Oryctolagus cuniculus: one gene and its partner. The protein of the gene in region 1 binds, or shares a complex with, the protein of each later gene. Links are inferred from orthologs where the notes say so. Each region holds a gene or a part of one and is shown on either strand. Other genes may lie near its edges.

What was found. Proteins that work in one complex are often made in the same cells at the same time.
Region 2: GINS2 (region 1) and MCM7 share a complex: the UniProt entries of both Homo sapiens proteins name them as parts of the CMG helicase complex. The link is inferred for Oryctolagus cuniculus from reciprocal best matches to the Homo sapiens genes GINS2 and MCM7.

Annotation. Positions count from the first base shown.
Region 1 is NC_091449.1:66,848,946-66,854,680, forward strand, and holds the start of GINS2 (DNA replication complex GINS protein PSF2), read right to left. Parts: upstream 3,507-5,735; 5' UTR 3,387-3,506; coding exon 3,297-3,386; intron 3,104-3,296; coding exon 2,989-3,103; intron 1-2,988. UniProt on the Homo sapiens protein: Required for correct functioning of the GINS complex, a complex that plays an essential role in the initiation of DNA replication, and progression of DNA replication forks.
Region 2 is NC_091450.1:42,362,448-42,365,428, forward strand, and holds the end of MCM7 (DNA replication licensing factor MCM7), read right to left. Parts: intron 2,839-2,981; coding exon 2,755-2,838; intron 2,062-2,754; coding exon 1,893-2,061; intron 1,779-1,892; exon of another isoform or gene 1,718-1,778; intron 1,557-1,717; exon of another isoform or gene 1,495-1,556; intron 1,350-1,494; exon of another isoform or gene 1,290-1,349; intron 1,122-1,289; coding exon 1,012-1,121; intron 872-1,011; coding exon 670-871; 3' UTR 501-669; downstream 1-500. UniProt on the Homo sapiens protein: Acts as a component of the MCM2-7 complex (MCM complex) which is the replicative helicase essential for 'once per cell cycle' DNA replication initiation and elongation in eukaryotic cells.

The sequences.
Region 1 (5,735 bases):
TGGCTCAACTGCTTTGGAGGCTGCTTGGCAGTCTGACAGCTCCCCAGCAGGTCCGCCGCGGCAGGTACCAGGTAGGGCCGCAGTAGGTACCGGGTAGGGCCGCGGCATCCGTCAGGAACAGCAGGTTAAGCAGCTGCCCGCAATGGCGGCATCCCCCAGGAGTGCCGGCTCAAGTGCTGTGCCGGCTGCCCCGTGTCTGATCCAGCTCCCTGCTGATGTGCCCAGGAAAGCAGCCGAGGACGGCCCACGAGCCTGGGCCCCTGCCAGCAGCAGACTCGGATGAAGGTCCTGGCTCCTGGCTTGTTTGGCCTGGCGTAGCCCCAGCCGCTGGGCCACCTGAGGATTGAGTCAGTGGACAGAGGCTCCCCTGCTCCCTGTAACTGCCTTTCAAATAAATAATAAATGTTTTAAAAAATTAAAAGGGCCGGCGCTGTGGCTCACTTGGTTAATCCTCCGCCTGCAGCGCCGGCATCCCATATGGGCGCTGGGTTCTAGTCCCGGTTGCCCCTCTTCCAGGCCAGCTCTCTGCTGTGGCCCGGGAGTGCAGTGGAGGATGGCCCAAGTGCTTGGGCCCTGCACCCCATGGGAGACCAGGAGAAGTACCTGGATCCTGGCTTTGGGTCAGCGTGGTGCGCCAGCCACAGCAGCCATTAGGGGATAAACCAACGGAAAAAAAAAAAAAAAAGGAAGACCTTTCTGTCTCACTGTGCACTCTGCCTTTCAAAACAAAAACAAAAAAACAAAACAAAAAAAACACATATCCACAAAGACTTGGATCAAGTCAAAAATAAACACCCACCAACAGCAGAGCCCACCTGTGGGACAGCCGCACAGCGCGACGGTGCGCAGTGAGGAGCTGATGCCCCGTGCGGCAGGGGTGAGTGATAACAGCCGAGACGAGCCACTCAAGTCCAGGGAGGCAGAACCGCCACGCGGGGCCTGCCACGTGAAAAGCTCAGGCGGACGCCCCACGTGCCTCTGCTGTGGCCTCCGGGAGCCAGGCTCCCGCCCCTCATCACCTAGCATCTGCCGGAGCCCAGACTGCCAGGGGTGACCTTAAACAGGAGCCCGGGCAGGACGCAGCCGCAGCTGGGGGGTTAATAAAGTCCAATTAATCAAGCCCAGGAAGGGGGGGGGGGGACACATCCAAGCCGCCCTCATAACCTGAGCTCAGACTGGCCCCCTAAGAGCCCTTGCCCGTAGGAGGGGACCCGCAGGAGTCTCCCAGTGAAGAGGGGCCATCAAATCCTTAGTGGGCACGGGCGCGTGGCTCAGCAGTTAGGCTGCTGCCCGGGACACCTGCAGCTCCTATCAGAGCGCGGGTTCGAGCCCCGGCTACACGCCCTGATCCCGCTGACGTGAGGCGGCAGCAGCTCGTGAAGCCGCGGGGTCCCTGCCCCAGGGCTGGAGAGCTGGACTGGGTTCCGGGCTTCTGCTCTGGCCTGAGCCAGCCCCGTCCGCTGCAGCCACCCGGGGTATGGACCACAGAAGGAAAATCACCGCCTTTCAAATGAAACGAAACACAGTTCCCAACCCACGCGGGGTCCCCGAGTTCTACAGGCCTGCTCGCACCCCTCCAACAACAAATAAAATCTTCTTTTGTAATGAGCCACTCACATCCGCTAGAGGCGCAGAACTGCCAGGGCTCCAGACGCAACCTGTGACTGATGCATTTTATTTAAAGATTTGAAAGCTAGAAGAGGGGGAGAGACAGAGATTGTCCATCTGCTGGTTCACCCCCCAGATGGCCACAATGGCCAGGGCTGGGCCAGGCCACAGCCAGGAGCTTCCTCTGGGTCTCCCGCATGGGTGGCAGGGGCCCCAACACTTGGGCCATCTCTGCCGCTCCTCTCAGGCCATCGGCAGGGAGGTGAATCTGAAGCGGAGCAGCCGGGACTCACACGAGCATTCCGGGGCGGCCGGCCAGCAGGCAGCTGCTCCACTCGCTACACAATGCCAGCACCGATGCATTTTCTGTTACCAGCAGCTATCCTGAGGCACCATTAACGCGACGCACGGGGCCGGAGCTGTGGCACAGCGAGTTAAGCCAAGTGCCGCGCCAGCATCCCATGTCCCAAAGCTGGTCCGAGTCTCGCCCGCTCTGCTTCTGATCCAGCTCCCCGCTAATGCGCCTGGGAAGGCGGGAGAAGACGGTCCAAGTACTTGGGTCCCTGCCACCCATGTGAGACCCGGATGTACTTCTTGGCTTCAGGTTCGGCCTGGCCCAGCCTGACTGTTGCAGCCATTTGGGGAGTGAGCCAGCAGACAGAAGATGTGTCATTGTGCCTTTCAAACAAGTAAGTCATGGGGCCGGCGCCGCGGCTCACTAGGCTAACCCTCCGCCTGCGGCGCTGGCACACCGGGTTCTAGTCCCGGTCGGGGCGCCGGATTCGGTCCCGGTTGCCCCTCTTCCAGGCCAGCTCTCTGCTGTGGCCAGGGAGGGCAGTGGAGGATGCCCAAGTGCTTGGGCCCTGCACCCCATGGGAGACCAGGATAAGTACCTGGCTCCTGCCATCAGATCAGCGCGGTGCACTGGCCGCGGCAGCCATTGGAGGGTGAACCAACGGAAGGGAGACCTTTCTCTCTCTCTCTCTCTGGCTCTAACTCTACCTGTCAAAAAAAGTCTCAAGCGGGAAAAAGTGGACAAAACAATGTTTTTAGTATCTGAGCGCCGTGCACTCGTCACCTCCATTTTAGAACACTCCCATCGCGCCACGAACAAAGCCCGAAGTCCTCTGGGCGAGCGCTAGCCCGCTGTGTCCCCACAGAGCCGGGGGTCCCGCTCTCACACGGGGTCGCGCAAAGCTCCCAGGGCCTCGGGGCCTCCCAGCGGGGCCTCCCTCCCCGCCCACGCCGGGCCCCGCCAGCGGCCTCGTCTCGGAGACCAACAAGTGCACCTGCGGGGCCCCGCGGGCTGTGGGCGTCGGACACGCCGGCGGCGAGGGGCTCACCCGCCCGCACGAGCCCCCGGCGCGGGGCGCCGCTTACCCGCGTCCATCCAGGCGGGGGCCAGCAGGCGGCACTTCTGTCTCTGCTTCAGGTTCAGCGCCAGCCACAGCGGCACGTCCACGGGCAGGCCGGGGTGGAACGGCCCCAGGTCCCCCTGCCGAGGCGACGCGCCGTCAGGGCGGAGAGCCGCCCCCTCCCACGGTCAGGCCCTCCTCTCCCGCCCGGGACCCGCGAAGCAGCCCGAGCCGCTCGCTCCCCGGCCCCCGGACGCCCCCACCCCGAGCTCGGGCGGCCGGCCCCGCCCCGCGCCCCGCCGCGGACAGCCCGGCGGGCCCGAGGGCCCCTACCCCGATGAGGTAGATCTTGTCCAGGCTGAAGTTCGGGATGATGGTCACCAGCTCCTTCTCGGCCAGAAACTCCACCTCGGCCGCGTCCATGGTCTCGCGAGCGGCCGGCCCAGGCCCCCCGGGGTCCTCCTGCCCCTCAGCGTCCGGCAGCAGACACGGCCGCCCTCGCCGCTTTCCCGCCACGGCTCAGGGCCCGCCCCCGGCGGAAGACAGCCGCGGCGGCCAATCGGAGCGCGGCGCTCTCCGCAGCGAGGCGGGACCGTGCTTGCTGCGAGCCTGCGGATTGGCGAGCCCGGCGACGCCGCGCCGGCCCCGCCCCCGCACGCCGGCCCCGCCCCGCCCCGCCCCGCCCCGGGGCTCGCGGCGCTCCTCGCCCTTCCCCGGGCGGCGCACTTGGCGCACTTGGCGCACTTGGCGCACTTGGCGCACCTGGCGTGGAGCGCTGCGGAGCGGGGTTGGGCCGCGTCTACACAGACGTTCCTCACGGGCCCCCAAGTAGACACGCGTACTGGGCCGAGCCCCGGGGCGCGGCGTGCCCCAGCCCAGCAGACGGCGGCTTAACTGGTCCTCACTGGTTCCAAGTCTGTAAAAATACAGATTCCTCAGCCCATGAGAGGGCTCAGCCTTTGGGCGCTGGCGAGGACCCCCGGTGAGACCCCTGAATGGGGCGAGTTTGCACCCCCGGGCAAGTAAGGCTGTTGCCAGAAGCCCGCGGAAGTGACGTGAAAAACCCAGTTTTTTGGGGTGCCGTGTTGAAAGCCACGCCTCACTTAGTGGTCGGGCCCATGTTCCGCGAACTCTGCGAAGGACCCTTGTCCAGCGTCTTTTCCACCAAAATACACAGCACTGCGCGTGCCACGACCCCTCTGAGCTCCCTTCGTGGGACAAGGTGCCCCTATACCGGGCGTGGGGCAATGGGCAGTGTTTGCAAGTCCACCTGTGTCCGAATCGCTGGACCATTCTCAGCTCCTGGGGAACCCAGGCTCGGGCATGCGCACTGAGGACGGAAAGCTGCACTGTGGCCAGGGCCAGAGCGAGGCCGACGCGGCCAGTTCCTGCGAGGTGAAGCAGCAGGCACGGGCGTGGACCCCAGCCGCCCAGGCTGACCCCAGGCCCCGAGCAGCATTCCAGGGCTGTGCGTCTGGGTTACCTGCTCCACCCCAGCGAGGCCAGGGCTCTCCTCTCTGACCCCAGAAACCTGCCCTTGCAGGAAAACTGGAACAAGGCCATCGGTAGGCTCCGGCCGCGCCCACGGCCTGGACAACCCCTGCTCGCCAGGTGAATTGGCAGAGCTGGGGTTTCACCCGGAGTTACGTGGCCTGGGTCGTGCATGGACAGACGCCCCACGGATGGTGTGGCGACGGCCGGTGAGCGGCTCAGCCTCGGTGGCTCCTCCGTGTCCAGGTGCTGTGGGGGCAGGGGAAGCCTCAGCCCCTGCCCGTGTTGTCTGAGTTCTCATTGGCGGGGGAGTGTTGTCGGTTCCCAAGCCGGGGGGCTCCACTTCCTGGTCCGTGCACCCATAAGAGAAATCCTCCTCTGGGGGTGTGCGTGCACCTTACAGGGTCTCCTCGCCCCGCCCACCCAGGAGGCCGGGAAGCGCCTCGCCCCGCAGCACCGGGCACGGAGTCCGCACAAGGCACACAGGTGGTGCAGCATCAGGGAGTGAGGAGGCCCTCGAGGCAGGCGGACGGAAGCCGGGGCCCAGCGTCGGGCCAGTGTCTGAGGGCGGACAGCTCCCAGGAGCCACAGCTGGACTCTGGGCCCAGCAGTGTTGGGTGATGACCCGAGCCCATGACGCCCATGACTGAACACGTGAAGGAATGGGGCGGAGACGGATGCCCAACAGGGTTCTAGGTGGTGCATGGGGAGGGGAGGGCTCTCCCAGACGAGGGTTATATTCATTCCATTTCCATGAGCCGTGAAGAACCAGGGATTTCCTTCCCGAAGAGGTGGGCCGGCGCTGGCGCTATGGTGTAGCAGGCTAAGCCTCCGCCTGCGATGCTGGCACCCATTTGGGCGCCGGTTTGAGTCCTGGCTGCTCTTCTTCTGATCCAGCTCTCTGCTGTGGCCTGGGAAAGCAGTGGAGGATGGCCCAAGTGCTGGGGCCCCTGCACCCACATGGGAGACATGGAAGAAGCTCCTGGCTTCGGATCAGCCCACCTCTAGCTGTTAGGGCCATTTGGGGACTGAACCAGTAGATGAAGACCTGTCTCTCTCTCTCTCTCCATCTATAACTCTGCCTCTCAAATAAGTAAATAAAATCTTTTAAAAAAAATTTAGAGGCCGGCGCTGTGGCGTGTTGGGTAAAGCCACTGCCTGCAATGCCGGCATCCCGTATGGGCGCAGGTTTGAGTCCCAGCTGCCCCTCTTCCAGTCCAGCTCTCTGCTGTGGCCTGGGAAAGCAGTAGAAGATGGCCCAAGTCCTTGGGCCCCTCCCTA
Region 2 (2,981 bases), on another chromosome or scaffold:
CATTTTTATTAGGGACATTTCAAAAGCCTGGCTCCTGTGGGTGCTGAGAATTAGAGGGAGTGGTTTCCCCTGGGTTACTGCACTGACCCAGTGCCTCACCCCTGCCTGTTGACAGTGGTGCTATTGGCACTCACTTGGGAAAGGCCAGAAAGCGGGGATTTACCTGTGCCTGGTAACACCACTGCATGCCACTCCTGGTCTTTTCCTCAGCCCCCTTGAAGGGGCTTTACAGAAGCTGGGGATCGAGCTATCTGAGCTGTTGTGATGGATACACCTCAAGAAATAGGAAAGGGAACCGCTGTCTTGCCTATGGTTCTCACTGGTGCTGAGGTTAAATAGGAACTTGCTCCTCACTGCCTCCCCAGCATCTCGTGGTGGCTGGTGGGTAGCGAAGGTACTTTCTCAGAAAGCTCAGAGATGGGGTAGGGCCAGCATAAAGGGGAAGGAGAGAGGACTCTTAAAGCCCCATAACACCTGTTTAACAGAAGTCAGGACCAAGGTACAAGGCAGCAATCTACACACTTTATTATATTAACAAAAGTAGCAAAACAAGCAAGTGCAGCACAGGAAGAGGGGCTCCTCCCACCCCTCCGGAGCTGGGTTACACCTGCAAAGGCAGCAGGTGAGCGGCGAGCACAGTGGGTCCCCAAGGTCTCAAGCAGGTTGGAATCAGACAAAAGTGATCCGTGTCCGGGAAGCATTGACCTGCCAGACATTCAACTCCTCATACTCGTCCAGAGCTGCTTGGAATTGGGCAGGTGTGAAGCCACGGGATATGCAGCGCTGCTCTGCCTCAGAAAACCGGACGCTCCGGGCCCCCGAGACCAACTCGCGGACAGTGGCAAATATCACATCTGCTGGCCTCTGTGTCCTGAAGGAAACACGAGGGTATGGAATCAGGGCACAAGCCAGGACACTTGACAGTGACAACGGAGAGTGGTCAGCTCATGCATCTGGATGCTGAAGCCTGCAACGGTCAAGGTGACCCAATCTCATCATTAAACCACTCACCTGGCTGTCTGCCCCTTGTCGCCCAGAAGTGAGTCCTTGGACATCTCCATGAGCCTTATGGCTTCATTCACATCTTCCTTCTCCACTGTGTCCACCATTCTCAGACGTGCCTAAGGGGAAAGTAGGGGAGAGAGGGGGACAGGAGGAGAATGGAATAAAGTCAGAGAAACCCCCTTGGTTCCAGCTTTAAGGCTGGACAACCTATGTGCCGTCTGCTCGCAAAAGGAGCAGGGACCCCTCCCCTGCTCCCCCACATCCGCAGTGTAGGGCCGGCACTGTCAGACCGAGACAAGTGCAATGCCCAGGGCAGCGTCCAGCAATTGCCCAAGTCTCCGCCTCTCAACACTGGCCAGTCCCGGTGTTCAGCTGTCCTGTGAGGGAGACCAGACCCTTCCGAACTCCAGTGGGCTCCCCACCACGACAGATGCAGCCTGGGGAGCTCAGCCTAGCAGGCGGTTGGCAGAGAGGCTGTGTCCCAGGGGCTCGGGAAGTGCTAGCTCAGCAGTAGGTCAGGTAATCACACTACCTGCACGAACAGCACTTTGGAGCCCCCGGGACTACGGTCCGAGATGTGAGGACAGAAAGGAAGCTTATAGCACAGGATCAAGGAGGTGGGGAGAGAGAGGGACCCTCCCCCGCTTCAGTGAGGCTGCAGAAGTGGGGAGAGAAGGCCTCTCCTTCCGTGGACGTGCGTGCCCTGCTGGAGCAGCAAGTACCCACAGTGCGGTAGCACGGACAGGACCACTATCTGCACTGTCAGCACTTTAGCCCCAGCAGGGCGGGTGTGGGAGGAGGCGGCAGCGAGAGGACCAAGTGAGGGTTCATTGCCAGTAGGGATGGAAACGGACACCCTCCAGCAGTACGGGGAACCAGGCACTCACCAGAGCAGTGGAAAGTCGGAGAATGGCCAGCAGTGTCCGGGCGGAAGTGTATGTGGCATCCTTACTGGCCCAGGCCTCTCGCCTCATCTCCACGTATGCTGCTGTGATGTAGTCTGCCAGGGACTCTGGCACTGTGGGCTGCTTCTCACGGCACATGGCTATGTAGCGTCTGTGGGAGAAAAGGTTCATGGGAAAGCAGAACATGAAGAGGGGGAATGGGGTACACACATGGGCATGGTGTTTTCTGCCTAATGGTTCCTCCATTTAATGAGAAAACTCTCAGAAGTAAGGACTTTTAAGCAGAAAAACGAGTGGGTGACTCTGTGTTTGACTCCAGTATCGCTGAGGGATTTCCACATCATGTTTCAGATGATTTTCAACTTTTCAGGAAAGTGACCTCTGTGAAATTAAGACAAATCCAACTGTCACAAAAGATCACCCACCCTCTTGTAAACATGATGTGGCTAAAGGGACTAGAAACATACTATTTCAGTAGATAGAGCGCACAGCAAGACCCTGAGCACACACCGGGAACACTGGGGCCATGGAGAAGAGCTGGAGGGCGATCCAGCGCAGCCTGAACGCTGTGCCCACCCCCGCAGGCAGGACCATGGTGGGGGTGGCGAGAAAGGCAGATTCTAAAGACATGCGGTCCTTGGCTAGCCAGGTTCGGGGAACCCAGACTGGGTGTTCTTACGCCTGGCACGTGGCAGAAGCGGGTAGCAGGGAGAGGGTGGGCAGAGTATTAAAAAGCCAACCCACCCGCTCTGTGAAAGCCTTTCAGGAGCCACACAGCCACGACGCTGTCACAGGCTGCACACTTGCCTGAAGTACACCTGTCCCCCCCCCAGCAGCCTCTTACCTCATAAGCTTCATGTCCAAAGGTTCGAATTGGGCGGGGGGCTGCCGGCTGTGCTGGTGCACATAGGTGATGTGCTGGGCCAACCTGGGAAGAGTTAAGAAGGCAGGCTCTTTAGAGCGCCACACCCCACGTCCTGCTTTAAATATTCCTCTTGGCTCTGTGGCTGCCTCACAGATGGAAGAACAAACTCTCCAGGAAGCCCTCAGCAGCACTTGGGCAGGGGCCCT